4 linked regions of the Lepisosteus oculatus genome follow. The protein of the gene in region 1 interacts with the protein of each later gene in a pairwise test. Links are inferred from orthologs where the notes say so. Each region holds a gene or a part of one and is shown in the gene's direction. Other genes may lie near its edges.

Region 1 (7,960 bases):
TCAGCCTTTACTGAAAAAGCATGCAGGGCATGAAGCCACAACGAAAGGGTTAAAGGACACATCAGCTGACTGGAACACTTGAGCACAGCTTTTAGCAACATTATTCCTCAACTAGAGCTCACAGAGGAACTAATGGCTATATCGTGAGAATACTGTTTTCATGACTAAATGGCTTTAGTGTGGCCAGTGTGAGTTATTTGCCCTTTGAAAAAAAAAAGATGCTAATGGCTCTTTGGAGGTAAAGACTTTCTGACTGCCCCTTTGTCTTCATAATTAAAAGCCCTTTTAGAAGATGGCAATGCTAGAAACGTTTGCTTTTCAAAACAGCGAGAGTGATGATGGATTGCTTAAATTGCTCTCTCCTGATAAAGATTCTGAAATGTGCACAAAGGAGGAAGCAATTTAATTTAAAAAATGTACAACGCTTTATACCAGTTAATGCACTTTGGAGCATTTTATGTATTGACATCCTATGTTTTGTTCAGCAAACACTAAGCGCCAAGTGTCTTCTGGCAACAGAGATCAACTTCACATGACTAAGTTCTGCACTGTGTACGCTTTGAGCTTCATAGCACAGGGCATTCATGATGCCTTAACAATTTGTTCACCCTGAGGATTATGAGCATCTAAAAATAAACGATCTTGTGCAAGGATTAGAAGCTAATAAGGTAAAATATTTGGGGAAGAAGACACATGATGAGTTGCCCAGGGTACCAGTGTACCTTAGTGATTAGCTTACACCCCCTCACACCGATCAGAACCGTGCACTGCTGAGGGTTTAACCATAACTGTGGAAAAAAGGAGAGGCCACTGCCGAAATCAAATTCTTCTGAGTTGCTGGTTTAAGGCCGTTTTTCTGGATGAACAGCTTGGGGACGGATTTAAAATGACATGCTTTTTACAAACACCAGGAAAAATCAAAGGCTCTTCTATCAGCAAATCTTTTTTTTTTCCTTCTAAAGTCCTCACTCTTCTGTCATTAGGGAACAGGGCTCAATTAAAGAGCCCAACCGGGAAATTTAATTTAGGCAGAATAAAGCCTAATAGAAATACTGCACAACCGTGGACATAACCAATTTATCTATACAGTAAGAACTCCATATTAAGTGTCATGAAATTGCATTAAAAGGAATTGATCGCACTGCTTTGTTTCTTTGTCAGTGCCTGTACTGTACAGTGGCTTCCTTTGATCTGAAATTTCTTCCTCGTTATACATATATTTTTAAATGTATTTTCATGTGTTGCTTTTTATTTTTCACTGTGAAATGCAGCATTCTTAAATCACCAGTGAAACTAGTGCAGCGTCTTTTTTTTTAATTCCTCTGGTAATCTCGGTTGCCAGCCTCATTAAAAGTATAAGGCGCTGAATGCAATATTAAGTGGCTTTGCTTTTCCCCAGTGCTGCTCGCCCCCATACCTTAGCTCTGAAATTTTAAATTGTTTTACTCCGCTTGCTTTGAAACATGTTACTAAATTAGTAACACCGTCAATCAATTAAGAAACAAACAACACACAATTGTCCTGAGCTGGAAGTGTGTGTGTGTGGTGGAGGGGGTGATAAAATATAAACTTGCTTTGATGCAGCAATAAAATCTGGCCCCTGCATTGTCCCTGTCCGTGAGATGTGACAAATACACAGAAAGGCAAATGCATTATTCTTTCTCAGGCCACAGTTACACTGTAAACACACAAAATGACTAATATATGGTCGAAACATCATGCCACAGCATTTAATCAATGACTTAAACAGTTGAATCAATATAAATTCCTAATATTTTAAGCATACTGGCCTCTATAAATCTTGTGATGTGGTTGATTGCAAAGTGTTTCAGGGGCCTATCCATGCATTGTATATAAAGACTCATGTAAATCAAACGCCACTACGACAGAACAAGGAGTTTTTTGACCTCTAGAAAAAAAAATGGCAGAAAAGACAGGAATCCTTTCCTTCAGCAGGATCTCCTCAGTGGCGTCCGGAATTGGAGTATTTAAGCAAAATACTGGAGCCGCGCAGCTCCTGCAGAGTTCGGAGATGCCCCCCCTTGTCTGCTGTGGCCGGAGAGAAAAGTCTCTCGTCTCTGAAATGCAAACGACAAGCATTACTGTTGCTGTCCTCGACGTCAGGAGAGTTCACCCCTTTCACCTTCCGTGTTTCAGCAAACCTGGGAATTCAGAGATTAAAACATGAAAATGTGGACCCCTCTCCAAAATCCTGACCAAATGAAAACATCATTCACCTCACCGCGTTTCGCAGCTTTGAAACACTTGCACGTCGTCTGGTGGGAGTGTTGCGTTTTCTTACGAGGAAGAGGGGGAAAAAATGTGGCGTTCCTCTATCCCCAACAACAGGATTTTCCCAAAGGAAGTTTTACTCCATGCATATCTGATTATTTGCTATTTAATTATCAAATGTTAATTCCCCTTGTAACAATGTGTCAGGATAGGCAGCCTGCAGGGCTTTGGAATCAATTCATGCACCGCGGTCTGTGAATCGGCGCAGCGTTTGCTAATTCTCAGTGTACCGTCTTGTGTTCGCGCATTTGCAGAACTATGTCTGATTGACTTTCAAAGTGCATTCCAATTAACAGCTTTATTTCCTCCTCTCTCTCTAATTTTAGATAATTACTCCCACCATCATCATCAAAAAAAAAAAGAGCCCTGCTTTCTTCCGCCGGCACGGGGACAGACTGTGGCAGGGCTGCTCGGCTTCCCGGCCGCTCCATCGCCGTGCTGTAATACCGCCAGCTCCTTAATTGTCATATTGATCCTGCTCATTCCCAATTAAATAATTAAGGGCCATTCTGTAGTGGAGCAGATAGGTCGGGCTGTGACCTGGGCCGAGCGGCCGCGGGTTTCAAGCCCGCACTGTGTCTTACTCTGCACTCTGCAGTAAGTTAGGATTTCTGCGGGGGATCTGAACGCGTCTGACTGTTCAAGCATGTATAGTGATGATAGAGCACTGGAATTAGGCTCTGCGCTTCGGAACCGGGAATTGCATTGGTGAATACAAGCTGGGCAGACTTATAATAATCATAGGTTTCCTGGACTATATGGGACAAATTATTCAACGCACTCTCCAAGAAAGAAATTGAGCGTCAAGTGAAACAAACACAAAAATGACAATTGTCTCTCCCACTCTCGTGGCAACGGTTTTCAAAATCAATAGCTCAGAATGTTTTGTTTTTACCGGTAATCTCGATGGAAAACGTGTGTAAAATCGGTGGAAGACACGTGTGGCCTTGCTGTGTCTGCGCTGCGGACGGCGGCTAATACATACTGTCCTGGCTTGTGGCCGTCGCCTATAAGCACACAAAGATCCCTGCGGGTCCTCTGGATTTTGAAAAGTCGGTCTGGTTCCCTTAGGCAGCTAGCTAGCTCTTCGGCGGCTGTGGGTTTGAAAGGTGACCGATGCGGTTTCACGTCTACAACTTGAACGAGGCGCCCACCCGCGAGCCGTGTTTATTGACGCCTCTGGCGAGCGGCGCGCTCCCTCCGCTCCCGAGGTCAAGTTCAAACCGCGGCTCGCGGTCCGGGTCCTCCCCGCGCGCGGCGGGCAGCCGGTACTGGTCCACAGCCCCGTGCAGGCAGACACGCGGAACGCCCCAGCTCGAGGCGGCAGTCAGCTGCACCCCGGAGCAGAAACGTCCGGCTTATTGCACAGTCGATAAATGGGCTATATTATATAACTGTCAGAAATAACATATATCCCATTTTGCAAAATTATCCAGTTATCCGAATGCGCTATTTTTGGGGCGTACTTGTATGTTTTTTATTTTAATTTTCCAAATCAAGCATTTATTTTATTCGTAAAATTTGATTTTAGACACTTACAGGACTTATTTGTAATGCAATTGTTCCCTAACGGTATTTCAAAAGTAAGAATAAATAAAAACTAGCAATGTGCAAAATATTAACGTTTATTCCAGTAAGCGGAACATCGTGTAACCCCACCGCCTGCCAACTTTGCAAAAATAACACACGCGTGTGTTTGTACTTTCGTGTGTTTCTGGCAGCTCTGCACAAAACTATAAAACGCTGGATGACCAACAAGCGCTAAATTAACTTCAGAACTTCACTTCTGTACCTCTTGTCGGCTGTAGTGAGTCACACGTAAAACACAGTTAAAAAAAAAAACCTAAATGTGAACAAATATTTAACGTACAGCCTAAAATTGTACAGAAACAGGGAGCTGGTGCACTAGCCTGGTTGGACTGTTAAAATATATTTTAGGAAGAACGTGTTGTGATAACAACAAAAAATCCGATTGAATTTCTAAGACGGTTTGTTGAAATCAGGGAACAGGAATCCTTCAAATATAATCTTTCCTGAATTCTCAACATTAGTTTTTGCTTATTTGCATTAATGATAATAATTCATTAGTATTTTTTCTATTTAAGGTCTGATTGCAGGAATAAACGATGGGATATTCGGTGATAACAATAACCCTTAAAAGTTACAAAGAATAACTCGTTTTCAGTTTAACAGTGCAAGTGGACTAATGCATAAATACATCACACACATTTACCACGTACTTTCTCTCCGTCGGGCGACAGTGAATTCTTCTTGAAAATACCTCGGCGAGTTTGTCTGGGGGCGTTAGAAGAAAAGTGTGTAGCTTTCAGAGAATAAAATCTATTTGAAAAAGGAAAAGAATAAAAAAAAAATGCCATTTCAGTGTCTACTCTGAGTGTCCGGAGGGATGACTTTACCGAGCGGTCAGGTCAGGGTTTGGAGAACATGTCACCTTTACTGAGGAAAAACCCCACGAGCAGAGCCCCGCGCGAGCACGCCTGCTCGTGGTGCTACCATGCGCACATCCTCGCATCCCCGCTCCTTTCTGCTCGTCTGCTGCCATAGCAACTGTAGCAAGGGACAGGGCAGCGCCGCCTGCGCGTGCGGTTGATGTCACCCGTGGCAACGGCCAATCAGAAGTTGCCGGCTGCCTTGCACGGCCATGCTGGAGGTGGCGGACCCTGGGGGCGGGCTGGAGCCTGCCAGAGCTCCCCGCCTATTGGCCGGCGCCGCTGTCAGTCAGGCCCCGACCGAGGCGGGGATTGGACGGCGGCTCTTCGCGATACGAGAACATGGCCCCCCGCCCGCCCACCTTCCGAGCAGCACTGGGCGAGGGGAGGCAGAGCCGCGGTCTTGAAAAGCGGAGAGCCCGAGCAATTCATTATCACTTCTGTATCAAACCATATAAAACTCGGGGCTTGAAGTGTGTGGACTTTTTTTTCCTCCTCCTCCTCCTGCCTTGGCTGTGTTTGTTTTAGTGCACAGCGCGCCCGTCCAGCGCTGGTGAGAGCTGTCAGCCGACGGGGCATTTTTTTTTGCATATATAGCGCCTTCCAGTGCAGCCAGGAGAACAAAAACCAAAAAAAAAAAGAGAGAGGGAGAGGGAGAGGGGGGTGTGGAGGAGGACGCGTCCTTTATTTAACGCGTTCCCTGCGTGTCGTGATTATTATTACCATCATCATCACTGTGGCCATTAGCGTGGCTCGAGCGGTGTGTTTCGCCGGGGTCTCTGCGCGCGGCGGCGCCACGGACTCAGACCCCTCCTCTCGTGGGCGGGCCGCGCGCTCTCATTGGGATGCTGCCTCTCTGCGCGCGGTCTGACACGTCTGCACTGAGTGAGTGACATTGGCACCTTGTCAATCGCTCACTAGTGCGGCCATCAAACACCATAAAGCACACAGAGTCAGGGATCCGGGCTCATAAATTTCAACAGCCAGATCTTTTTGCGCATTGCTTTACAGCGTGTAATTAATTTATTATTTTTTTTCTGGCGATTCTCTCTTTTTTTTTTTGGGGCCTCTGTTATTTTTCGCCCCCCTCAAAGAAGCTCCAAAACTTTTTTTTTGTGTTTTTATTTTTTAATTGTTGTCATCATCACCATCATTCTTACTGTCGCCGCCGCTGGTCCTGGGCATTTAAAATATCTATATTTTTTTTTCTCAAATTTGATTTTACTTATGTGTTGGGTATTTTTACCCTTTGTTACATAGCAAGACGCACGCTGTAGACAGGTAGAGCATGTTTTGCTGTGCTTTTTAATTTTTATTTCATTTTTTTCTTTTTTTTTTTGTGCGTGCAACTTTAGCTTTGGAAAGGTCTTTTTGGGGGGGTTCCCTGCTGGTTTAATGGGGATTCTGGCAAGTTTGCAAGAAGATTTGCACGGGGAGAACAAGCCGAAAGAAGACTCTACAAACACATGAAAACAATGTGCAGGGAGCTATAGCACGAGACGCCAAATCGCACGCAAAACCCGGCGAGAAGGTCTGAAGACGGTCAAGACACGCGAGCTGTCATCCGATTGCCGAAGTATCAATAACTGAAGTACAGAATTGATATCGGTGCCTCAATGCAACTACCAGCATAAAATTGATCCTGCAATTCTAAAGCTACTTCGGATCGAGGGAGAAAAAAACCCCACAAACGCGAAAAAAGTGATTTCTGGACACGCGATTGCTGCCGGTACAATTACTGCTATACAAATAGAGATTCTTAGTTTTGCTTCTTTTAATTTTTTGATCCGTTTCCCCTCCTCTCAGCCTCTCTTTCTTTCCCGCGCGCCCACCGAATTCCTCCTTGTATGTGATTTTGTCCCGCAAATCCCCCCTTTTTTATTTTCCTTGCTGGCTCCGAGCGTTGTCTCTCCCGGAGAAACGCATTGATTGTGCTGCGGCAGAGCATGGACGAGCAGTCCCGGATAATGCAGACTCTCGGCGGTGTCAGTCTGGCTGGCCACTCGGTGCAGGGAGGGATGTCCCTGCCTCCCCCGCACGGACACGAAGGGACGGACGGGGACGGCAGGAAACAAGACATCGGGGACATTCTGCACCAAATAATGACCATTACTGACCAAAGTCTGGACGAGGCGCAAGCAAAGTTGGTTCCTTTTCTAAAATTACCTCAGATTTGTTGCATGTATGGTTGCTAACCTATTATGAACCTTTAGAGCCAGTCTAGTGGTTATGCTGTCGCTACTAAAATTAGAATCGCATGGATCACAATGGTCATATTTATTGGCTGTGTGGTATATATATATTTTTAAATATAGCGGGACAAGGGGGCAAATGTAGATAAGTTATATTGTAGTGCTTGTGCCATTTCTCTTTAACTCTCGGGAGGCAAAGTATCTTTCTTGCTTCTCGGATGTACACCCGGCTGTCATCGTAGTAAAAAAATAATAATCGGGATTTTCTCTTTATCTCTTTATTTTTAAATTCACGGAGAAGTCCTTATTTATGGGGCGGGGAGTAGTGTCTTTAAAATCTTGAAAAGCAGAGGAATTGTAGAAATATTGTTGCAAAGTGCCCTGGTGCTGATGTTTATGTACATGTGTGTGCACAGTGTAAAAACAAGCAAGCGTGCAAGATACATTTGTAGCCCAGCATTTTACAGACTGTTACCTGTTAAAGACCCGGAGACGCCTGGTCCGAAAGTATAGAAATCATTCTAAAAACAGGCTGAATAATTTCTATTTACTGAAAAAAAAAAATACAACGTTTCAAACTGCTAAATAAGAACTTGTTCAAGCTCAAGTTCAATTGCTCAGCGTGTGGTTTTGTGTAACCTGTGTTTTACCCCCGATTGTCACCTCTTTCCCACTGAGCTACAGCCTCACTGTAAAACAACAACGCTGTAATAAACTAGGATCTGAGGATCTGATCAATTATTTTAGGTTCTTTGGAAATTACTGTTTGCAGCAGAATTTAACGCTCATGTCGAGAATCTGAATTTTGTGGCCCGTCACCTGCCGAAAAGAGTTCATTTGATCAGGGATAGGCAATATTATTATTATTACAAATAAATAAATGGAATATTCATTTAATGCTCGCTAGACGGGATGATTAAAGCGGGCGGGTAGGAAATGAGGAGATGTGCACAGTATTGTGTTTTTAAAGTTGTTTTGCAGTGTTGTATATCATGTTTTCTTTTTCTTGCCGTATACTGTAATAGG
Region 2 (7,668 bases), on another chromosome or scaffold:
TCCTGTTTGAAATATCTGACATGATTTTAGGCAAAAAAAATGGTTTTGGTTTAGAGTGAACTACCACACATAGTTCAGATAGTTTTGCAAAGAGAGAGCTATTTTTTTCTCAGAGCTTTAGCCAATATGGATAACAGGCTACAAGAGTGGTGACCTGACTTTCATGCCTAGTGAACTCCCCAGAGGGTTCCCATTGTTAAAATCAAAATGGTATGTTACATTCATAATGATCTACATTGCATTTGTAACTCAGCACTTGTAGCTAGCTTGCCCATGGTGCCTGAGGTGCTACTACTGTACATCTAAGGGGGAAGACAGGAATTCTAAATGTATTTTATTTTAGTGCTGTTAAAAGGTTTAAGTGTCTTTGGTAAGTTGAAAAAGTTAAAGGACTATTTTAAAACCCTAACCTTCTGTCACATTTACCACTTGTTCAATAAGGAAAAACAGTTTAAACATTGACTATTAACTAGGAATACTAAAAAAGTTCACATAGACATTAACGTTTTCTGAATATAGCCTACAATATCTCAAAATGTAAGCTGAACAAGCAAGTGGATTGTAAACACAAATCACATTCAAAAAAGGTATAATTTTATTCAATTTCCTGGAAGTTTAAATCCAAATGCAAGGTATGTTACATTTATTGTTATTGTGGAAGACCCATTGATGATTAGTGATGCCAGCCATAAGGGAACAATATCTGCATTTGTGTGCAAGTCCATATAGTGTGTAGCAGTATTCCATTGTGTTGTAATGGTAACAGATCAGAGTTCTACACTACCTTAATGTTCAGGTTCCTTTTTCTAAGGTAATATAAGCGGTGACAAATGTTTGTCATGCACTGTAACTGCATATAGATCAAATGTCAACTGAGCACCCTTTTCTATATCATATCGCACATGTGTAATTCAAGTATTTTCAAGATTCAATATTTTTTATAACAACAAGAGTATTGGAATGCTTACTCTTTCAGCTGTACCCAGTAATATTAAAAAAAAAATAGGCACAAATGACAAACAGACATGGACAATAAATTTAGAGAATATATGTTATAATACAGGCAAGACAGGACATAGTGCAAACAGTGTAGTACCTTAAAGTGCAGGTGCTAATTTGAGCTGTTTATGATTGGGTGGAATAAACTGTTGGTCAATTGGTCTGTGTTCTAATACTGCAATACCTCTTACCAGAACCCAGGGGTGAAAACAGATCATGGCCAGGGTCAACTGGGTCCCAATGTATAGCTCAAGTATAGCTATAGTTGTGGCAGCGGTCGAGATGTATCTGGTCGATGGAGGGTAGCTCGGTCCCAATGTTTTACTGCGAGGACCTCACAAGCCTTTGTATGGCTTTTCTGTCCTGTACTGTGGCTCCACCATACCACACTGGAAGGCCACTCTCAGTGGTATTACAGTAAAAATTGGTGAGTGTTGTCTTGCTCATCCCCCACTTCCTTAACTGTCTCAGGAAGTGAAGGCGCTGGTGGGCTTTAGTGAGGATGGCAGCAGTGTTCTTTGACCAGCTCAGCCTCTCAGTGATCTGGAGGCCATGGAACCTGAAGGGGCTGACAGTTTTAACTGGAGCCCTGTGAATGAGGATCGGTGTGTGAAGTCCTCCATATCTCCTGAAGTCCACAATAATCCCTTTTGTTTTGCCGATGATAAGTGTGGGGTTGTTGTGGCACCACTCCACCAGCTCTTCTACCTTGCTCCTGTAGGTGGTTTCATCATTGTTGCTGATAAGACAGATTACTGTGGGGTCATCAGCAAACTTTATGATGCGGCTGCTGTTAAATCTAGCCACACAGTCATGTGTTATAGAGAATACAGCCATGGGCTCAGGCAGCAGCCCTGGGGGCCCCTGTGTTGAGGATCAGAGGGGATGATATTTTGTTTCCAATCCTCACCACTTGGGGTCTGCCTGTCAGGAAGTCCAGGACCCAGTTGCAGATGGCGTTGTTGAGGCCCAGACCCCTGAGTTTGACCACCAGCCTGCCTGGCACAATTGTGTTGAAGGCTGAGCTGAAGTCAATAAATAACATCCTGGCATAGGTTTTCCTCTAGTCCAGGTGCTCAAGAGTGGTGTGAAGAGCCAGTGAGACAGCATCGTGTACTGACCTATTATTCCTATAAGCAAACTCCAGGGATCCAGGGAGTCCGGGACAATACTGTCGATGTGTCCCCTCACCAGTTTCTCCATGCACTTCATGACTACTGAGGTGACTTCCACCAGGCGGTAGTCATTCAGACATGACAACTTGGTTGCTTTAGGCTGTGGCACGACAGTAGTTCTTTTGAAGCACAGTGGGACAGTAGACAGGGATAGTAACGTGATAAATATTACAGTAAAGACAGGGGCCAGCTGTTCTCTGCATGCCTTTAAAACACAGGGGGATGGGATGCCATCAGGGCTGGCAGCCTTGCGTGGGTTCACCTTTCCGAAAGCTTTCTGTACCTCCTGTTCAGACAGCTGCAGCACAAATTCCCCAGGCTCAATGGGCGTTTTGTGTGAAGCGTCAAACCTCGCATTGAAGTTGTTTAGTTGGTCAGGCAGTGAATCATCAGCTGTTGTTATAACCTATTTGTCCTTTGTAATTAGTGATAGCCTTCAGGCCATTCCAGAGGTGCATTGTGTTAATGCCCCCACATTGTGATTCAAGCCTGTCTCTGTAGTCCCCTTTCGCATGTCTGATGGCCCTCTCCAAGTCATACCTGGCTTTCCTGTACAGCCCAAGATCTCCAGAGTTAAAGACCACAAATATATGAATGTATAAAGGAGCTTTTAAATGAACCGTTTCACTATCTGACCAGCTCTGGTAGCTTACTGATCCCAGTAAATCTGCTTCAATAACAAAGAAGGACAGTGTGGTTCCAGGCATCCAGAACCCCTAATTTTCAATCTTAAATCTGCATTTTCTTAGTCCTTATTGCTTTCACTGTTAATTGGCTTTAGGATTCAGTTAGATACTAACAGAAGTATGAAAATAAATCACACAAAAATAACTGAATATTAAATCTTCTAATATATAAAAATTGATTGGTTAGCATCTAAACTATTTCAGTCCTGAAGCAAACAATTTGAAATATAATTCCATTTAGAAAAACTGTTCCATTTGAATTTTTATGACTATAAAAACATATTCATACCTTAATTACAACATGGTGATTTTTAAAAACCTTTTGTCTGTAGACAAATTATTTTGAATAATTCTCATGCCTACTACTGTATAATGCGCTTGAATCATTTGGCTATGATTTTTAGCGAGTTTCACACTCTTAATTCAATAATGAAATGTTGCTCAACCTAGAGACATCTAAACAATCACATAAACATCACATTATAGTGTTAATTGTAATCCTCCAGAGCAACGGATAAGCTACGAACTGCTCATGCTGTTTCTGTTGATGAACGTGAAACTGCTTATGAGGTGAGTATATAAACAAGGGATCCGGTTTTTGGATCTTTGGAAGTCAGTGTAAGCATTAACATTTTGTGTTTCTACAAAACGAATCAGAGAGTTTGTTGCAGATAACAGGTAGCTGGTCCGAAGAATATATAAAGAATAACACCAATTCCAGCTGCTCACAACAGTTATTGTCATTGTCGTTATTTGAGCGAAGCTTTTGTCTAGGCTTAGGGTAACAATACGGTCAGGTCACTTCGTGGCATAGTTACACATCAGTCAGAACGTCGTCCAAGTACAGTAGGACTGTAGTGGAAACTGTTGGTGTCTAGTCTAGTCACAAACCTTTTTTTCCCATTTTGTTCTTATAACAGTATATAAAAACAACGCATTCTACAACAGAAAAACATAACCTGGGGTCTACGGATTAGAAAATGTGTTAATATATAATTAATTCACTGCACATAGAAGCTAGAAATCTATATTAAAAACACGTTTCAAAGACTAAATTTTAAACTGCATATTACTGAATTGTTTGTAACATTTTCAAAGAGCTGATATACTGATATACTGTCAGTAACTGCTTTATTTTAAAGAAGGCCGCGATGAGCCAGAGCCTGACACGGTAGACATCTGGTGCGAGTCAGCTGCAGGACACATCTAAGTCTTCACTCACGTTAACACCAACTAAAACTAGCACGTTTTGGGTTTTTGGACTATGTGAAACTAAAATGTAAACACAGGAATGTCGTTTAAAATCTGCAAACAAAATGCAGATAGGATTATTCTCAAATTAACCAGTAAATCTCTGAGCCACGTACTGCAGTGCTAGCTTGTTCCTGCAGTACAGAGAAGACTCGTGTCATCGCATCCGCTCCCGGGTCGTGCGCGTGCGCGTGCACGCCATACGTCATCCCTCCTCCCACCTTATCCCGTGAGCTGCGTGCCCGCGGCGCGATGACGCCACGCGGCGGCTGCGGGTCCCGATTGCTGCAGCCGCTTGTCAGTGTGACGAAGATTGGCACCCAGGTAAGCTGTCACTCAAAATCCTCTTTTTCCGCTCACTATCAATCAAATATCGCGCAGAAAAGCGCCGTCGGCCCTATCGCAAGTACCAGGGCATAGTAGGGAGGTGGCTCGGAGTGGGTCAGCGTGAGGGTACAAAACGCCCTACGTTTTTGAACAAGGGGAGAAAAATATGTCCGGTTTGAGCGTCTTTTTCAAGGGAAATTTCTGGAAAAGCGAGGGAGCTGCTGGCAAGGCCTCGTTGCTGTTGCTCGGCGCAGCGAGGAGGGCAGGGCTAGGCAGCTGCCCGGCTTGATTGATGGAGGCACAGGGGGCAGGTTTCTCCTCAACGTTAAAGGGACAGGGGCGAATTTTCTCCGTGTCGGTCGTGTTTATGTGCCGGATGCGGCCTGGCCGGGTTTGTCTGGGCAGAGCGGTCGAGGCCCGGGGCTGGTTGTGGCGGACGTTGCGGCGCGAAACATGGCGCTGAGAAAACCCCTCCGTAACACACCGAGACGTGAATCAACAAGACGCCCTTCCAGTGTCCAGCGTTATGACTTGCAGCGTATGAAAGGCATAAAAAATGAACCATGAACCCATAGTTCTCTGAAAAGTCTAAATAGGCACCGAGCATCTACGAAGTTTCTTTAGAGGAGCTTATGAATTAACTTTTCACCAGAATTTAGCAGGGCGCCCCTTAAAATGGGGGTAGGTTTACAGGAAGCAGCTGATGGGACATATTGGACAGTAAAAAAAAAAACTGTTAGCAGCACACAGTAAATTCGTAAATGAAACACCTGAATGAAACGCACAGCCTTACAAAATGCAGGCATAGAGATAAACAATTTGCATGTTTTATACGTTGTTGCTTTTTTACATCCTCGTTTGTTGACACTGTTAAAAGGCACACTAATAGATTGCTTGATTGAAATCCAAATACGAGGAACAATACAAAGTTTCTTCATAATATCAGGGTGCGTTATCAGTTTTTGCTTTTTATGATGTAACTTAATGGATGTATTTTTCTATACCGCCTTGTACGCTTCGTGCTCCTGCTGAAGCATTTCCCTTTAAGGGCCAGTCTCCCGCTTTCCTCATAAGGACTGAGGTTTGTGATCGAGTTTCAGTCTGGCTTCGTTATCGAGGACTGACGTAGTTAAGCTGTGAGGCATTAAGATCGGGGATCTAGTTACACTCCGTAACACTGATTTTGTTTTCTTTATTTTTTCAAGGAGCATACATTTTAGATAGAAAAGCTTAATGCTTATAACTGCACGTCCTGTTCAAATTAAATATTCTGACTTTCGTCATTACAATTTCCCTATTTAAATTTCAAAATAGATTGAAAAGGCGCCACTCTTGTTACTCTCTCAAATGACCAACTATGGAAAATTCCAGATCTCAACATTAGAACATCTGTTGCAGTTTGTACAAGATTTATGGATGATATGTCTGCTATACATATAGAGACAGATCACTTTATTGGCCAAGTTTTCACTTACAAGGAATTTGACTTGGTGAGTTGCTCATACACTATACACATACAGACATACCATATATACATTTCAGAAATTAAAGAAAAATATATATTGCACCTCAAGAATGTGTCAGAACTCTACTTTTGTGTGATAACCCCATTCGTATGTACATATTTGTAAATGATAAATTAACTGTCCATACTATACATATCCATATACAGACAATATTATTAATGCACATAATGCCGTGGTTGAAAACTAAGTAATCAATATTCAATTTTAATAACACAATTTAAGTAACTTTCAGTGATTAATAGGGATGATTAATAAGAGTCACTGCCTGAGGAAAAAAGCTGGTACTTGTATCTGTGAGCAGTGTTGGAAATGTTGCCATTAGATCTCTGTGTCTGACTGGCCATCACATGGCAAATGTTGTGATCAGAAGGGAAAGTGAAAAGAATGAAGCTCACCTGCCTGAGGAAAAAAGCTGTTTTTGTGTCTTGTGGTCCTGGTGCTAACTGACCTAAATCTTTTCTCTGATGGGAGACATTGAAAAATATGATGGCCAGGGTGAGAGGAGTCAGCAATGATCCTGCCAGCATGCTTCTTAGTCCTGGAGATGTAAAGGTCCTGGAGGACAGGCAGGTCACAGCCTATGATTACAGCAAAAACAAACTTTTTGGTTGAGATACATTTAATCTGTGGATGGAAATATAAATTCAGACATGGATAAAACATTGACATTTTCTGAGAAAATGTTGTAGTCAAGTTTGAGGTACTAGTTTTAGTTGCAATGACACATTCTCCTCTGTTGAAAAGGAAGGTTGATGTGTGGTTATAATTGCCCTTGGTATCGCTGACTGCAGTCTTGAAAGTGGTCAACTTTCATGCCGAGAGTTTAGATGACAGTTGTCGACCGAACGGAAAAGTATTAAAGTTATGCATTTTATGTTACCCATGTGTGATTTTTTTAAAGTTCTGTATGGCTGTATCAAAGTGCTTAGTGATAACTTTGGCTCCAGAGCTACAATCAAGTATGTTGCTTCTGAAAAGAATTTTGGGATTTGGGATGTTGTTCTTCTTAGCATTTTTGGCGTTTCCAAGGCCACATCTGAATTGACTCTATGCCCACTGGTGAGGTGCTTGAATTAAATGCTCAGGGCAGATGCACATAATTGAAGTTCTTTAGAAATGGATCACAGAATACAGTATTTTACAGAAATACACAGGAAGGTATGTGGTAACTCATAACATGATCTCAACAAATTTCAGAAACACAGAACACTGTTATCCCTCCATTCATTTATTAAGTTATTGTCTGTCAAAACAGTTCTTAACTGGATGTTAAGCCACATGTGGCAATGGTGCTATATCAATCCAACCATCTTAAAGAGCCTCTGTATGTTCTTCAGGTGTCCTCTAGATAGACTTGAATTAGGACAGGTGTTGAACATAGGGTTCAGAGGTGACATTGATTAATAACCTTATACGCATTCTTGTGAACCGGAAAAGGATCTTAATTGATTACATAACATGACCTATTGAAAGTTCTATTGAAAATAAGATAAGGGTCCTTCAGGGCCAGGGTTGATAAGCACTACTGTAGGAGGTGCTGGCCTTTTGCCAAGTTTTAAAATTGATGTCCTGGGTACTTGGTCATTTAAGATCCTGTAAGAGTAAATGTAAGTTACTCTCATTTTAGTTGGAGAATAAGTTTTTCACTCTTCCGCCTGATCTGCTGTGTAGTGGGGATGTTGGTGCAGAATGTCTGATGTGCGT
Region 3 (7,616 bases), on another chromosome or scaffold:
CCTAATTCTGTCTCTGACTCTAGCTCTGGGCTCAGAGTTAAGGTTGGAGCTGAGGTTAAGGTTAGGATTTAGAGTTTGAATTCATGTAGTGTAGCACTGGAGTATGAGTTAGACCTTCAGTTAGGCCTAGGTTAAGGGTTGGAGCAAGGTTGTGCTTAATGTTAGGATTGGGGTATATGTGAGAGTTAAAACTAAAATAAGGGTAAGGAGAAGAGACAACCTCTTGAGAATAGCTACACTGTGGGAGGTATTCAAGATAAACAGCAAAGATTATGTCAGTGTTAAGTTTAAGTTTGGAGCTATGGTTAAGTGCTGGATTAGGGTTAGGCTGGATGAAAGTTTGGAAATTGGGTTGGGGAGGGCTTGTGTTTAGTGTTTGGATTAGTGTTGCAGCTAAGTGTTGTATGGGATAACATGAACTACTCCCAGACCAGCCACACACTGGCTAACTTGTTTTGCCATTGTACTATATTTTAGTAGTCCTACCCTCTGCACCCACTTTTGAAATCGCCTTCATCACTGCCCCTGCCACCACCCACACAGTTCCATACACTTTCACCTTTCTCGCTTCCTGCACAAGCCAAGAAACTCTTGATTTTTATGCAAACTTTTATCAAATGATTGATTTTGCTATTTATCTCACCCGACAAGAAGATACGGGTATTTTGACATTCACAATAGACACAATTTTTACTTATTTCACTGATTTGAGATCAGATCTTTCACAGAGTGACTTTTGTAGGCCTGTTTGTAGACAGCCCGAGAGTTTTAAAATGTGCAAATTGATCTTTTTTCCAGAAGCTCCTCTGTTAATTTCAGGTCAAAGATAAGCAAGACTGCTGTACATTATTATTGCATGTTGTAATAACATAAAGATGCATTTCCTCTGTTAATGATATTTATTGACTTATGAGATTTAGTAATGTCACAGATGTTATGACCTTGAGTTCTGGGTGGCCCACTAAACTCTTAGTATTGATCATGCATAAGTTGTAATTTAAGACAAGCTAAATATATTGACAAAATTATTCTCTGATGTGCTGCCTTTTCTAGCTCATAGATACAAGGATACAGTGCTTTGGGAAGATGTATTTTGTTGATGGAGCTTGTATCCTATTTTAAAATTCAGTAAACCCTCAGTTTTATGAACTAACAGAGGCAAAGTGGTGTCAGGTATAAGTCTGTTAAATAATGTAGAAAATACATACATATATATGCTTACTGGGTCTTTTAACTTTGAATGGCTACAACACAGCCAGTGAAATTGTCCATGTGCCTTATGTAAATATACTAGCTCTTTATTTAGTGTACTGTAAATATATGGTATAAAATTTGCTAAAGTAACAAAACATAAATAACTTCCATTGTAAGCAATTGACCTGGATAACAGTACAAACCAATGAAATATTTATTTTTGCTTTGTTTAATTATTGGTGCACTTCATTTTTGTGGGAAAAGTCCGATAAAAAGAAAATGATTCACTAGGAATAACAGCACCCGAGAATTAAGCGTCCTGAAGGGATTATGGGGTGTTTGATGAAAATTTGACTTAACCTGCTTGACTGAGGGCTGACCCCTTACATACACAACAAAGACAACACCTATGAGTATTTATAATACAAGTGTGCAGTAGAGCTTCTGTATTCACCTGACCAATGAATACAGATTTCTTGAGTGTGTGAAGGAGTGGGACAATTTAGTGTGAAGTAAAAGTGATTTCTTCTGTAACTGACTACCTAACAGTTTTGCAGTGCTTCTGCAGGTCAGCTCCTAATGAATACCACTGCCAGGCACTCCAGAGTTGCCCCACCCCTCTGATAGTGAGGTGGCCAAGCCCAGCCCATCTCCTCATATGCATTAGCTGCAAAGTGTCTACTTGTATTCTTTTTATTTTCATTGAAAACTATAAAAAAACAATGGAGAAAACAAATGAATGAACGCCCAGTGTGGGTGTTGGGCTGCTGGAGCTGAGGAGTTTGTGATGCGTTTTGCATCTCCAAGAATTCTACCTAATACTGTATAACTGAGACCCCTTTTCAGTGCCAGTGAATCTGAGCCCCGTGTGAATCTCAAACATTCTCCTTAAGAAAGAACATGGATATATACAGTATATACTGTATGAAACATCAGAGCACCGTGCCAGGACTGTTCTGAAGCACCAGGTTGGTGTTCTGTAATTGTGTGCAAATGTCTTGCTGTACAAATCACTGCCTTAGCTGATGGAGCATCTTCACAGTACAATACAAGCTGATGCAAATGTGAGAGGCAATGATGTACAAGAGGAGTGGTATGAGCACAGAACAGATCACATGTGGCAGCTGACACCCCATGTGTTCCCCAGCTTGATTAAAGACGTTTTTGTATCTGTAATTTTCCAGCAATCAGACAAAGCAAGGTGCATATTTCTCATTACTGAATTGTTTATTCTGAGGTACGATTGTCTTTCACACTACTCTTTGAAAAACACCTTGTTTGGACAATGACACACGGGCAGAAGATGGACATTTCCTGTTTCGAACTGTTCCTGAAATCACCAGTATTCTGCTTCCCTCGTCTGTATTCCTCTGCCCCAGAGCAAAACAGATCTCGTACCAGAATGCCATTATGGAGGTGCTGCTTCTGCTGGCCATTCCACGCATGTCAAATACAGCCCTGGGTCAAGGCAATAGGATCACTAGAACATGTGCACCTGCAGCTGAAAACAGAGTAGGTCCACAATTTGTTGCTACGTTACATTAACAATAGAAGGATTGATCCCACATCTCAGAAAAAAATGAATGAATCTGTACGTTAAACAGGTGTAGCTGGGCCAGCAGAACCTCAAGGAGAGAGGAGGTCTGCAGGAGGAATGGGGGAGCAGGGACAGAGAGGAAGAGTATAACAGAGCCTCTCCACCGCCCCCTCTCTTAGAGCAGTGTCACCGAGCTCAGGGGTCACCGGGTCAGCAGGAGGGGTGATCCTGCCACAGGACCCCGCTCTTTACAACCAGCCCACCATCTGCTGTGCTTTTTGTAGCCCAACAAAGGAGGTTTTTAAACAGCCAGGCGTGAAAGAAGAGACTAAAGTAGAGAAGAAAGGCGCATGGCACACATTTCCACACACTTGCGGTGGGGCCTGTGCGCCGCTCTTTGATTTATAGACCCCCAGTCTTCCTGAAATTGGGAGCAGCAGAGGTTTCCATGACAGCTGCGGGCTTCTGTTTCAAGTTTATGAACATCCAGATCATGTGGAGCCTCCGGTGTCTGCTGTAATAATAGAAGATTAATTGGTTTGCAAAAAATGGTTACAAAAGTAATTAAAATTGTAATCTGGAACGTCTTCAGCTGCTTGCTAGTGTAATAACACACAAATAATGTAAGATGGGGACACAATTCACTGAGCCCAAGTTTGATTTTTTAATGAATTAAACAAGGACAACTTTTTAAGAACACTGAAGTTTTAATCAACAGATTTCAAATTATTTTATTAAGGAACCTTTTCATAGTAAGCTTATACTAAGAGCAGTCATCAAGGTTTACTACAGCTGGGGAATTCCACGCGTGTATTTCACATTTTACAATGCTTAACGCACCTATTACTCAATTCTTCATGACTCACAGACTTCATCAAAGTATCTTGCTGTATGTAACAAATGCTTTTGCATATATTTAAAATCTTAACTTCTCAAACTCACTCCTCACTGAGGTAACATTGCATCTATCTGCCATAAAAGGCAGCATTTCCAAGTGTAATGGTATGTTGTCTGTTCAGCGCAGAGATTTGGGAAATTCCTGGTGTGAACAGCTTGGAATAGAGACGTGCTCTCACCTGAAAAAGCAAACCAGTGTGTGTGGGCACACAGCGGGGCTGTGACCAGTGACCAGAGGCCGGGCTGTCATTACAACAGAATGACCTGCTTATTGAAAGGAGTTTTTTATTTTTTTAACTTTGAACACCTTAAACCACCAGTGCAAAAACACACCAAATACTAAGTGAATATGGATTTTAAATACCTGCTTTCTCCCTGGTATTAGAATAGACGGATGAAGATACATCCACATCCACATCCACATCCACATCCACATCCACATCCACATCCACATCCACATCCACATCCACAGAACCAAGAGGACCAGGAACTAGGAAAGTACCCTGTTCTTAAGGGCAGTGCAACTTTAAAGGGTTCTAAGCAGAATTTCACCCAATCATCTTTCAACACCCCTTCACTATTCCGCATCTAACGCAATTCCTTCGGTGGGTGAAGGCGGGGGATGAGGCTGCTGACGTTCACGTGGTGCTGTCAGGGTGGGCACGGTCACGTGGAGAGAGTCAGGCTGCCGTCACATGGTTTGTGTTTGCAGCTCTGCCACGGAGGGCGGAGACCGGGAAGTTCAGAGAGAGAAATTACGGTACTGTACTTTTATATGATTTCTGTTTGGACGCAAAAGCAAAAAAGGCTGAGTGGGAGTGGATAGACACTCGACAAGAGCATGGAAATTCCAGCCATAAATCTTAAGGTAAATATTAAAATTTGGATTGTTTATAGAAGTGCATGAACAGAAAGACAGACAGGTCTGTTAAATGTACGTCAACGTGCAACTGCTTTCTGTTTCTGTAATTTGCATTCAGTCAGTTCAATCTGATAAACCGTAGGAGATAATTAGTGGCATTTCTTATCCTGTCTTCAGCAGAAAACTGTTGATTTCCTAGATTAAACTGTATGTTGTAGAACATTTCATCCTATAAATGAAAATAAAAGTTTGTTTACGTGTAGTTCACGCTAAAAGTACACACAAGCTCCAAAGGGCTTATCTTCTGTACATCTCTACTTTTAAATGTAGAGCTCACACGTTTAGGAGAACTCATAAATCCACAACACAAGAAGTGACAATTTTGCGATCCGTCCGGGGGCCTGATTTTACATCTATGCGAGTGGCGCTGAATAAACTCTTTGCCACTACCGGATTATTATTTTATTATTAGGTTTTGGATAGCTGTAATGAACCTCTGTCTGCCTCTCCCCACAGGCAATTATACTGGTTCACTGGCTTCTGACAGTATGGTAAGCGGCTTGATTTTTTTTCTTTTCAAACAGCTGAGGAATTTCTCCGGCTGCCCTACTGCCGTTTTTAATTTTTGGAGGAGGGTATATGTACTTTCTAACCTTCCACTACCCCAACCCGAAAATAACTTTCTTTGCTTTTCAAGACTGCAGTGGTGCCTTCTCTAGGTTTTCTTTCGCTGCCCAGAGTTTTCGTGTTGACACCCAAAGCAGTGAATGATATCCTTTCCCTTTTCTTTTAAGTAAGAAAAGTAAGCATGTTGATTTAAAAATATATATATATATTGTAAGACCAGTCAATATGGGTTTATTACAAATCCTTATTATAGGTTTGAGGTTCAGAACTAAATATTTATTGTATGTAATATGTGTGGTTTTATATTGATAATCTGGATTATTATGGATTTAGGTCCGTATTCCTTAAACACTTTCTGTTGTGTACCTAATTCAGTGAATTTGCTAAAAGAAGAGAAGATTTCCCACAATGAGGAAGAAACTTTGGTATTTCTGACAATATGTATAGTTTACCATAATGGAAAAATGCAGAAACTAAACATTGCATTATTATTTTACTATTTGTATGACCCTAACCACTTTTTAACTATTCTCTTGTGTGGTTTATGCATCTAATGAGAAACATAACCGTCGGTTGTCGATTAAGAAAGCCTAGACTGAAAGTGAAGTTGAATTGAGCTGCAACAGGAAAGTAACGTGACTCAGTTCTCTGCTGTTAAAAAGGAAACAAGTTTACACAATGTGTGTTTTGCAAAGCGTTGTGTCCACTGTTACGTACAAAGTTATTGGTTGTAGATGTTCTGGGAGTTTTGATGAAATAGTTACAAGAATGGAACTCCACAATAAGTTAAGGAGCCCTTTTTACAGCTTATTACTGTGTGGTATTCTTAATTTCTCAGTATGAAAGGTAGGTCATACAGCACAGTGACAAAAAGGCACAATGAGTATGCTTGCAGTTTGTGCCACTCATAGAGAAGCCTCTGAATTATTCATATTTTAAAATTTAGACTAGCAAAATGTATGAGTATGAATAGAAATTCATAGAAATCAATGGGTTTTTTTGTAGCAATAAAGGCTATTAGCATCAACACACAGTAAGACATCTGGCTCTGGGGTTGTTGTGAAGCGAATGTTGAAGTAGAGCTGTCCTGTGCTGGTCTCCAGGGCCTGTATGTACATCTGGCTGCCTTCATCCTACGCTTGGGGTAACTTCAGTGTCCTGGCAGTGGGCGTCTGGGCTGTCGCTCAGAGGGACTCCATTGATGCTGTACTCATGGTGAGTTGGAAGACTTTCCACATGCTCCCTTGAAAACGATGCCGCATATTTGTTTTTTGACAAGTTGGGGAATGCACCCAATCAGCTAAGATGACACCTTTTCACGGCAAAGCCTTTGCTCCAAATTAAACCTGCGTTGTTGTACAACGGGTTAAAAGGAAGACAGTGTTGTGAATGTGTAGCAGCTCAGAAACACACAGCCCACATGGAGGAATGCGGCGACCTCTTGAGATATTGCACCATTTAACTTTACAGGAATCAGGACGTTGTCCGTAAGACACACACTGTAATGCATTACGCAATGTGGTGGATTTGGTTTTAATTTGCTTTCCTACGGTTTAAAAGTTGCACTTCGGTCAGCTTCCTGTAATAGCCTTTAGCTGTTGTGTTTCCCAGCGTGATTCCCAGTGCTTACCTACCTTGTCCTCTCTCCCACCCACTCCCACGCCTTCTCCCAGTTTCTGGCCGGAATGGCGGTGACGATATTGACCGATATTATTCATCTGGGAATTTACTACGCCGCAGTGGAGAGCGGCACGCCCCCCGGATTGAGGGACACGTTCCGCTTCTGCGCCGGCATGGCCATCCTCAGCCTGCTGCTCAAGCCCGCCTCCTGCTTCTTCGTCTACCAGATGTACCGGGAGAGGGGAGGCGACTGCAACGTGACCTTCGGTAAGCACAGGGCCTCCTCTGGGTCGGGGCCTGGCTGTGGGTCTGCTCCCGAGCCTCGGCCTGTTCTCATGCAGTCGTTGAGACAGGTTCTTTCATTTCTGTTTGGTATTAAGAATTTGACACCTACCAAACACTGCTGTGGATTGTAACAGGCCAAACAAGTTGAAGGAGTTTCTACTTGAGTAGGCCTGACTGCAGACGCTACATTTCCCTTGAACTCAGAAAGGATTTTCTGGATGCTTTGTACCTTAGAGCAGTGTTTCTCAATGTTTTCCACCCTGCAGCAGACTTACCTAAACAAAATAAAATACCGGGCACTCTGCCCCACCATCACACTCATACACGTCACCAACCTGGTGGTATTATTCATGTTATAAACTAAACCGTCTTCAGTGTTCAATCAGAGTTTGTCTCTGAGCAAATAGCCTTCTCGCCCTGGCAAGAACTCCCGATGGTGTCGAATGGAGCTCCTGCTCCACTGCTCTCATTTTTTGTGTGTTTATGCCTGTTAAAGTTGAAAAGCACGTATCGCAGGCGATTGGCACCTGAACAGTCCTAGCGTGTGGCCTCCTGTGTCAGATGCACATGAAACGCGCAACTTGGGTGACTCCG
Region 4 (7,983 bases), on another chromosome or scaffold:
AAGCAACCTACATTTTTAACTCCATGCTGATAATTCCCTAGTATCCGGCTACCATACAAACAGCTTTTTACTTTTCAGTTCGCATTATCTCCAGTTATACTTATCATCTCCATAATCATATATGCAATAGAAGAAAGATTTAGCAGTTTATAATGGCTTTTTGATTTGGTTCGTCACTCTTTTTTGTGGATAAGTGTAATATTAATAGCAATTTTTCCAATAAGTGGGGATTATCCTGTCTTGAGTGACAGCTGAAAGTGTTTTGTAAGTAATCTATATACTTCAGGTTTCAGCTGGTAGAATACCATCATGGCTGCAACGTTTACTTCCAGTTAAGTGTTTCTAGTACCTACAACACTTCTGCCTCTTCTATGCTAGTAATATTTAGTTTACACATTTCATAAACTGAGGCATGTCATTGACTTCTTCCTTGTTAAACACCTGAATGAAATATTCATTTTATATCAGCCATTTTCTTTTCATTTTATAAATATTTCCCAGTATTGTTTCCAAGACACCATCCTTTACTAAACTTTTGCTGTTGTAGTTTTGAAAAAATTATTAGTTTCTGTTAAGCACCACTTACTGTACAGTAGTCTTTTCTTTTTTGGCCTTACATACAACATTTTTGATCTGTGTCACTCATTATATTTATTTTCTTTATCCTGATGCTGCTCTTTTTTAATTATTCTACAATGTGCTTTCTTTCTCCTTAGATTTTTCTTAATTGTAAACCATTGCTTTCTAGATTTTAAAACAACATTTGATATTGTGCTGAATTGTATCATTTAAAGAAAATAAATGCATTGACAATATAAGAAACTTGCTGCTTTCTATGGAGAATTCTTGTTGCTGAACCATAGACATCAGGCATGGTCCTGGGTTTGCTACTTCATGAGATCCACTAGCCTTTTCCCTTCTTCATGGTTTATTAACTATAAGACCTAAACAATACCTCAGGTGGATCCACACTAGCAGTAATAATGCAGCACCATAGCAACAATTATACAAGGATGAAATATGACACTTATACCAATTTTCACCAAATTAATCCCTACTTTTTTCTATTAAGAAGATTTAATCTCTTCATATAAAAGGGCATAGAACATGAAATAATATTCCTTGAATACTCAAAACAGGATCTGGATATTGTACCCATCCTGTTCCAAGAGTAACAAGCTGTCCATCCTTTTAACACTACAATGAGTTAAAGTTTGCACTGACAAAACTCATCTGATTAATTTAATCCTACAGCACTTACTTTCCAAACAGACCATTTACTCCTAACACTTTTTAGTTCACCTGCATCATATTTTTTTATGAAAACACATACAGTGGAATTATTTCCATTTAAATCCTGCTTTATTTTTTATATTTAATGTTTCATAACTCAATACTGTAAACTGTATGTCGGATTTCCTTTTCCTTTAGAAAGTATTTAATGCACTTTAGAATTAAAATATTTTTAAATGAATTATAGTTTTTCTTTACTTCCTCATCATGGAGTACAGAAGCTTCAATGTTTATTGAGGGTCTATAGATAAAAAACACTTTGTCATTTGTTGTTAGCTCCTATTTCCCCAAATCTGTTCTCCACCCACTTCTGTCTTATTTTGCTATAGATCCATATTGACAGAAAGGCAGCACTTTTACTGGTTTATGGCTCAATGAATGTGCATAGCAAATTGCAAATTACCTATTCCACTCTATCTTTAAATTATGCAGTAGCTAATCAAAATGTACACTTCAGTGCACTTTGTGATTTCTTGTCTAAACAGAAGCTGCTTTTGCCTTCATATTGCAGCTAATTATTAACATCTCCACAGGGCTCTACAACACATTCAATTAAACTACTCCGAGAAAGCAGTTTAGTATGATTTCACCATTACTGAGATGCAATTTCTTAGCAAAAGCAAAAATTACTAAAAAGATCAAACCTGTTCTATAATGAGTCATTTACTTCTCGTTTAAAAAAACAAAAAGTCAGTAAAATTCAGTACTGGTTAAACGCCTCAAGATTGATAAGCAGGTGGTAAAAACATTAACTACAGCATAAACCTAAAATCACTGTACGGTAATCGCTGCACTTGAAAAAGCTGCCTGTGAAAAAGGCTGGTGTTGATACATCATTTTCCATCTCTAGGCAATAGAAGGAAGCATTAAAAACGTAAACAGAACGATACAAGACACAGTTACAAGTGTCAGATTTAAAGCAATTGCTGTGTTGTAAAACTTTCACAATGTACTAGGAATATCTTTGTTCACCACATCTTAAAAAAGATGCTGCTGCTTTGGAATATGTTCGAAGAAGACCACAAAGGTACAGTACATTCCAGGGCTTAAAAGAATAGCCTGTGCTGTTAGGCTAAAAAAGTCTATGTTTTTTTAGCCTTACACAGAGAATTTGGGGGCCAGAATCGAGAATGCGAAATCATTGAAAGTATTGACAAAACTAATCCAGTGGACACCTTCAGAATCAACTGTGATAGATGAGTTTATTTTTCAAGTCATGTTGTTGAAGCCAGCACCCTGACATCTTTGAGTAAACATCTGATTGAGATACTTACAGTAGATCAATTACCTACTATAACTAAAACAGCCATATTGGCCAAATATTTCTAAAATTTCTTTTATTAACAGGAAGTGAGATTTTTTGGTGATGCTCTGACAAACTTAACGACCTAATGTTTTCACAACTCTCTTTTTCGGGTTCAAAAAGTGTAGTTTGAATCAATCCAATATTGAAAAAAAGATACATTGTCATCTGGTACTAGAACATGTGACTGCCTGTACCTGTAGAATTTATTTTTCTGAAAACAAGCATTACACAATAAACACAAAACTTTGTAAGTATCCTAAGATGATATGTCTACTTGTTAATCAAATAAATAAAAATAGAAATCTCCTGGAAATAGACATGCAGCAGTTATTGGATTTCCAGCTCAGCCTTGTATTTTTTCACTCACCTCTTATGTGTGTCAGAGTTAGCAAACTATGAAAGGCACCACTATCCCAAACTGAGTAAACAACACTGTTGAATGATTAACCTGTGAATGAAGCCAATATGACTTGCATAATGCAGTTGAACTGAAACAAAAACATGTCCTTTCCTACTCTGACAGGAAATGTTAATATTCCTGGCAAGAACTAAATAATTACGACTGTATCGGATTTGTTCTTGTTTATTCGTATTAATTTATTAAATTAGGATTATAAAGTATATAACCACTGTGCAAATACATATTTAACATAAACTTGAATTGGATAGGGAATATGCAAACACACATACACACTGAGGAGTGTTTTGGGAATATACTCTGTTTTCTTAACTTTGTATTAGCTTGACAATGTCACATGTTCCCCTTCCAAAGATGATGCTCCTGGTTGCCATGTCAACAGGGCTTCTGAATGGCAGCTCATGGGAGCTGCTGCAGTTATGCTCACCACTGGACTTGTTTCTCTTTCTCAGATACAAATTTAAGTGGACAGCATTTTTGAGCATGGCTTCTCAGAATGCATCCAAACCTTTTAACAGTCAAAGGAGTATTTATATTCTCCCGGGGATTAAGCTGAGAAGTAGATGGCACATACAATAATTCAGAATCTAAGGTTTTCCTAATAAACTGAATTGAAGGTAGGAATATGTGATTCCTTTGATCAGTGCTATTGAGGACATTTCAATTCCAAGATTCAAGCATGACAGACATACTTTTTAGTTGTTCAAAATGATATTCTTGCTACAGAAAATATATATATGTCATAAATTCACTTCTTTTGAGATTCCAGAAATGTCATGTAGGATGATAGTGTTATTGTTCCATTTGATTGTATAAATTACTGTACCTAAAACTATGTGAAAAATTGACTTTAAACATTTAGAAGCAGTTTAAAAGACCAAGATATACCGAACTCCTGATTCAAATGTTTATTACACTAAAGGTAAAAATTAGAATACACTGTATTTTTATTTTAAAACTTTTTTAAAAAAATTAACATTATTAAAAAGAATATGTATTTTTTAAATTCCTTTGGTAATGGACTGCAATATTCTCATTTTTTGTATATTTGTAGTATAATGTACTGGTGTCCATAGGATGATATCTCTTGAAAATTCATTTGTAACTTAACTGTGGTTCTCTATACACTTCAAGCCAGTCACGTCCGTGTTCTTGCCATAATATTATTTTTTTAACTCAAAAGAATATCTATAAAATACTTCAAGAAGGTAGGTGCGTCAGCATGCGTAGTCTGCAAAGAAACACGTAAAGGTTTGTGGTGAAAAGGTTCCATGCTGAAAACAGAAGACAATAAACACAATGCCAATTATCAGCAAAATAAGAAACAACAAGCCAAAAGAAAAACACACTCGAAGAAGGCACCCCAGCCAAAACATTGTTTCCTCTCATCTTTTCAGCGTGGAATAAATCTTCAGGTAGGTAGCTGCGTCAGCATGCGTAGGCTGAAAAAGAACAAGTAATAGGTTTATTCCATGCTGAAAAAAAAAGAAAAAGAGAAAGAAGAAGAAAGAAAACACTTTGTGTTTTTTCTTCTTTTTTCCCAGCATGGAATAAACCTATTACTTGTTCCTTTGGAATAAATCTTTACTTGTTCCTCATCTATAAAATGTGCGTGCTTCTCTATAAACGTCACTGATACTATTACAAGTGAGCAACAAGTCGTAATTCATTTGTTTACCCCGGTTTTGATGGCTAAACATACGTACTTCGGCTACTCCAGGATTATTTATGACAGTCTATACCCGCTCTTCACGTACTCCAGGTCTCCTTCAAAGAGACGCGGTGTCGCTGCTCCGAACGGACAGAATGGGCGTGGCCGCGCACCTGTTGGGCTGCGAGGACACGTGACTCGGCAGGAATTTGATTTGGATCTTGACCCTGTTGAACAGAAACCTCTGAATTAAGAAAAGGATGTCTGTACCCGCAAATTCGCCGGCTACGTCCTTCCCAGCCGCTACAATTTCTTTGCCTACGGGACCTGAGGTGCTGAGAACGTACTCGGGGGCTCTCGTCTGCTTAGAAATAGTAAGTGTGTACAAACTCTGAACACCTTTCCTTACAAACGTTAGCCACTCGCCGTGGTTCGCTAGTACATTCGAGTGTGTGTTTTCATATTCCAGACAAGAAGCACCGAGTGAAACGATCTCGTCTCTGCTTCTTCTTAATATTGGAAGTACCGATGAGGCATTTGGCTTTTTTGCTTTTGATAGCAGCGGCGCAAGAACTCGCAAGAAACGTGGTGCTTTCTGTTAAGTTCATGAGGTGATGACAGCGCTCCGACATTACATGTAAAATGAAGATTTCGAGAACCCAGCTAAGAGGATTAGCCCTGCCACTCCCACATTTAAAATAACACGGAGGTCTGGAAAACTTGCCGTACAATTGAATGTGCACGGCTGTGGAAGATCCTCTCCGGTGACATTTGGTGTTTTTCCGGTGGATGGTATACTTTTAATATTTACCGAAGTGTGTACAACATAATGTATTATAACTTATTCAGCTTTGTTATTAAATACCTAAACAACTCATCTGAAGCTGTTGTTTAAGAAGGTATTGTTGCAGGATAGGCTGGGCAGTACTAAATGCAAGATTTACCTGGTTCTGCGTGGTACAATAATTAACATTTCAACGGTAAGAACTGACCTAATTACAAGCTTGCGTTGGTGTAACACTGTAAAACCACCACACTTCATAATGACGAAAGCAATGAGAACTTTTTACTAATGCTTGGTGTAAGAACGACAAAGTCACTTGAAGACCTTATAAAAAATACCGGGGTCTTAAACTTAACATTCTTCTAATACTTATTGGACACATTGTAAACATTACTCACAAAGCCTACAGTCTAGGACTCCAGATCAAAATGGAGAAAAGTATCTTATGTATTTCTTTGTACACAGGTGATGTATGAGTGCACAATGTCTGAAAGAGACATTTAAAAGTGAAAATTCTATTAGCTCTAGTTGGTTTTTTTTGCCTGTTAATATTTGAAAATGAAAATAGTGAAAAAGCAGCTGGTGAAATATCCAAAAGGATGATTTTTATTTTTTTCCTAATGACAAAGAAAGCTATTTATAGTAGTACATGTTAAAAGAAGTTTTCTTTTCTCATGCAGGTCTTCGGAGGTCTGGTATGGATTCTTGTGGCCTCTTCCAATGTCCCTGTGCCTCTGTTACAAGGCTGGGTTATGTTTGTGTCCGTAACCATGTTTACCTTCTCCACTGCATACCTCCTTGTCTTTCTCCTGGGCTTTGTTGACAGGATCAACACTGACTGGAATTTCCTGGTAAGAAGTTTTACATTTATTTCTTTGGTGAACTGAAAATGGCTTGCAGGCACCAAACAGCAAAGAATCCCAGTTGCATTCTTTGCAGAAGAAAAAAAAAGCACAACAATATTCAGTGTTTTGCGATTCTGTCGCCCATGTGACAATAAGGAAGTAATCAGTGACCCTTAGGAGAGCAGATGACAGTATCTACTTTTTGTTGGACATTTTTAGTCCCCTCCTTAAGTTATGCTTATTTAAAATGATGTGCTGCCATTTAGTGTTGACATGTAACAATTATTACAGCAAAAAGGTTTTAAAAAATTGTTTACTTGGGTAAATATAAAGAGAGGACAATGGTGAAGTATACAGGATTCATGGTACAGTTCTGATTTAGAAGGCTTTCCAGAAGCAATTACTGATAGTATGTAAGGGATAGTATGGCAAATACGTATGAATCAGTTCCATAAGTAAAATGCTTTTCCCTGATCAATGAGATCAGGCGATGGTAATTATCAGTTATTATGATATCATACTCAGTTTTTAGGTACCATTTGTTAGTATGTTCTGTTGTTGACACAGAACTATAGAACATTCTGTCATTTCCAAAGGTTAAGAACCATGAACCTCTTTGAAGGCAACACCATGTTTTACTTATTTTCTATAAGAAGTTTCAGAACACTGCATTTACTTTTATATAATAATATTTACTTCTTCTAACACTTTAGATAAAACATACAGGTATAGTATACCAGCTATGACCCCTGAGACTTGAGACTTAGCTGAAAATGGAGCTAAAAACATGCTTTGATTTCCACTGGCTGTCTTCAGTATGCGCTTAAACATGTTGATGTGGAATTTTAGCCCATCCTTACTGTGACAAAAATCCTTGACAAAAATCAAAAGTTTTATTGCGTTTGTTTTAATTATAAGTTGTAGCGGACACTGAATTTAATCTCTGTCTGTGACTCTGGGCACCTGCCCAGGGAGGTGTAAGACACTTGAGTGCTGGGGTGTGTCATTATAACAGTCTCCTCTCCCCCAAGGCAACCTGTTTTATAAACTGTTCATCGCTCTTCCTTGGGCAGTAATCCTATGTAAATGGGTTTATCACTCATGAGTTTTTTATCCATGTAAAAACCCCATGAAAAAAAAAACTTCTTACAAATGTTTTGGGAATTCAAAGTGATGTACAGTATAGTACCAGACATGCCAATGAAAAAGGAGACCTTCTTTGTCCTGGTGGCATTCGGCTTGTTGTGCACTAAGGAAATAAGAAAATGAAACTTTCTTAGTTGCCATTAGTATACTCTTAAGATTATTAATTCAGTATTATAATTTTAGCATCATTTGCTGAGTGTTCAATAAGCTTAAAATAGGTATCATTGATAGATTATAATTTTGTGAGCTACTGTGTATAAATGTTCTGTACAAGCTAAATCTTGTTTAATGGGTCCAAGGCATGTCAGCAATTGCTTAAGCACTCTAAGGTATTTTAGCAGTTTAGTTTAGAAATGACTGTAAGTATCCACTAAGGTGTGTTAACATGTATTAGTCAGATGTCCAAAGGGAAAAAGGCATTACAGAAACATGCATTTTGACACAAGCACTCCTTTTTTCTTAGAAATCTTTACTAGAACATTTTTCTCCCAGGCTCCACCAAAAAATCCTAATATAAATATATCATGCAAAATAAGTGGT

What was found.
Region 2: the proteins of pbx3b (region 1) and homeobox protein PKNOX1 interact in a two-hybrid assay, tested with the Homo sapiens proteins (2 studies listed by BioGRID and IntAct). The link is inferred for Lepisosteus oculatus from reciprocal best matches to the Homo sapiens genes PBX3 and PKNOX1.
Region 3: the proteins of pbx3b (region 1) and agtrap interact in a two-hybrid assay, tested with the Homo sapiens proteins (4 studies listed by BioGRID). The two-hybrid records come from large-scale screens. The link is inferred for Lepisosteus oculatus from reciprocal best matches to the Homo sapiens genes PBX3 and AGTRAP.
Region 4: the proteins of pbx3b (region 1) and mal2 interact in a two-hybrid assay, tested with the Homo sapiens proteins (2 studies listed by BioGRID). The two-hybrid records come from large-scale screens. The link is inferred for Lepisosteus oculatus from reciprocal best matches to the Homo sapiens genes PBX3 and MAL2.

The regions. Positions count from the first base shown.
Region 1 is NC_090719.1:1,104,708-1,112,667, reverse strand, and holds the start of pbx3b (pre-B-cell leukemia transcription factor 3b), read left to right. Parts: upstream 1-4,942; 5' UTR 4,943-6,688; coding exon 6,689-6,885; intron 6,886-7,959; coding exon 7,960-7,960. UniProt on the Homo sapiens protein: Transcriptional activator that binds the sequence 5'-ATCAATCAA-3'.
Region 2 is NC_090710.1:1,028,608-1,036,275, reverse strand, and holds the start of homeobox protein PKNOX1, read left to right. Parts: upstream 1-4,340; 5' UTR 4,341-4,435; intron 4,436-7,668. UniProt on the Homo sapiens protein: Activates transcription in the presence of PBX1A and HOXA1.
Region 3 is NC_090720.1:5,640,533-5,648,148, reverse strand, and holds the start of agtrap (type-1 angiotensin II receptor-associated protein), read left to right. Parts: upstream 1-4,235; 5' UTR 4,236-4,250; coding exon 4,251-4,388; exon of another isoform or gene 4,389-4,469; coding exon of another isoform or gene 4,470-4,496; intron 4,497-5,006; coding exon 5,007-5,041; intron 5,042-6,220; coding exon 6,221-6,332; intron 6,333-6,790; coding exon 6,791-7,004; intron 7,005-7,616. UniProt on the Homo sapiens protein: Appears to be a negative regulator of type-1 angiotensin II receptor-mediated signaling by regulating receptor internalization as well as mechanism of receptor desensitization such as phosphorylation.
Region 4 is NC_090705.1:11,454,991-11,462,973, reverse strand, and holds the start of mal2 (protein MAL2), read left to right. Parts: upstream 1-4,791; 5' UTR 4,792-4,928; coding exon 4,929-5,042; intron 5,043-6,132; coding exon 6,133-6,303; intron 6,304-7,983. UniProt on the Homo sapiens protein: Member of the machinery of polarized transport. Required for the indirect transcytotic route at the step of the egress of the transcytosing cargo from perinuclear endosomes in order for it to travel to the apical surface via a raft-dependent pathway.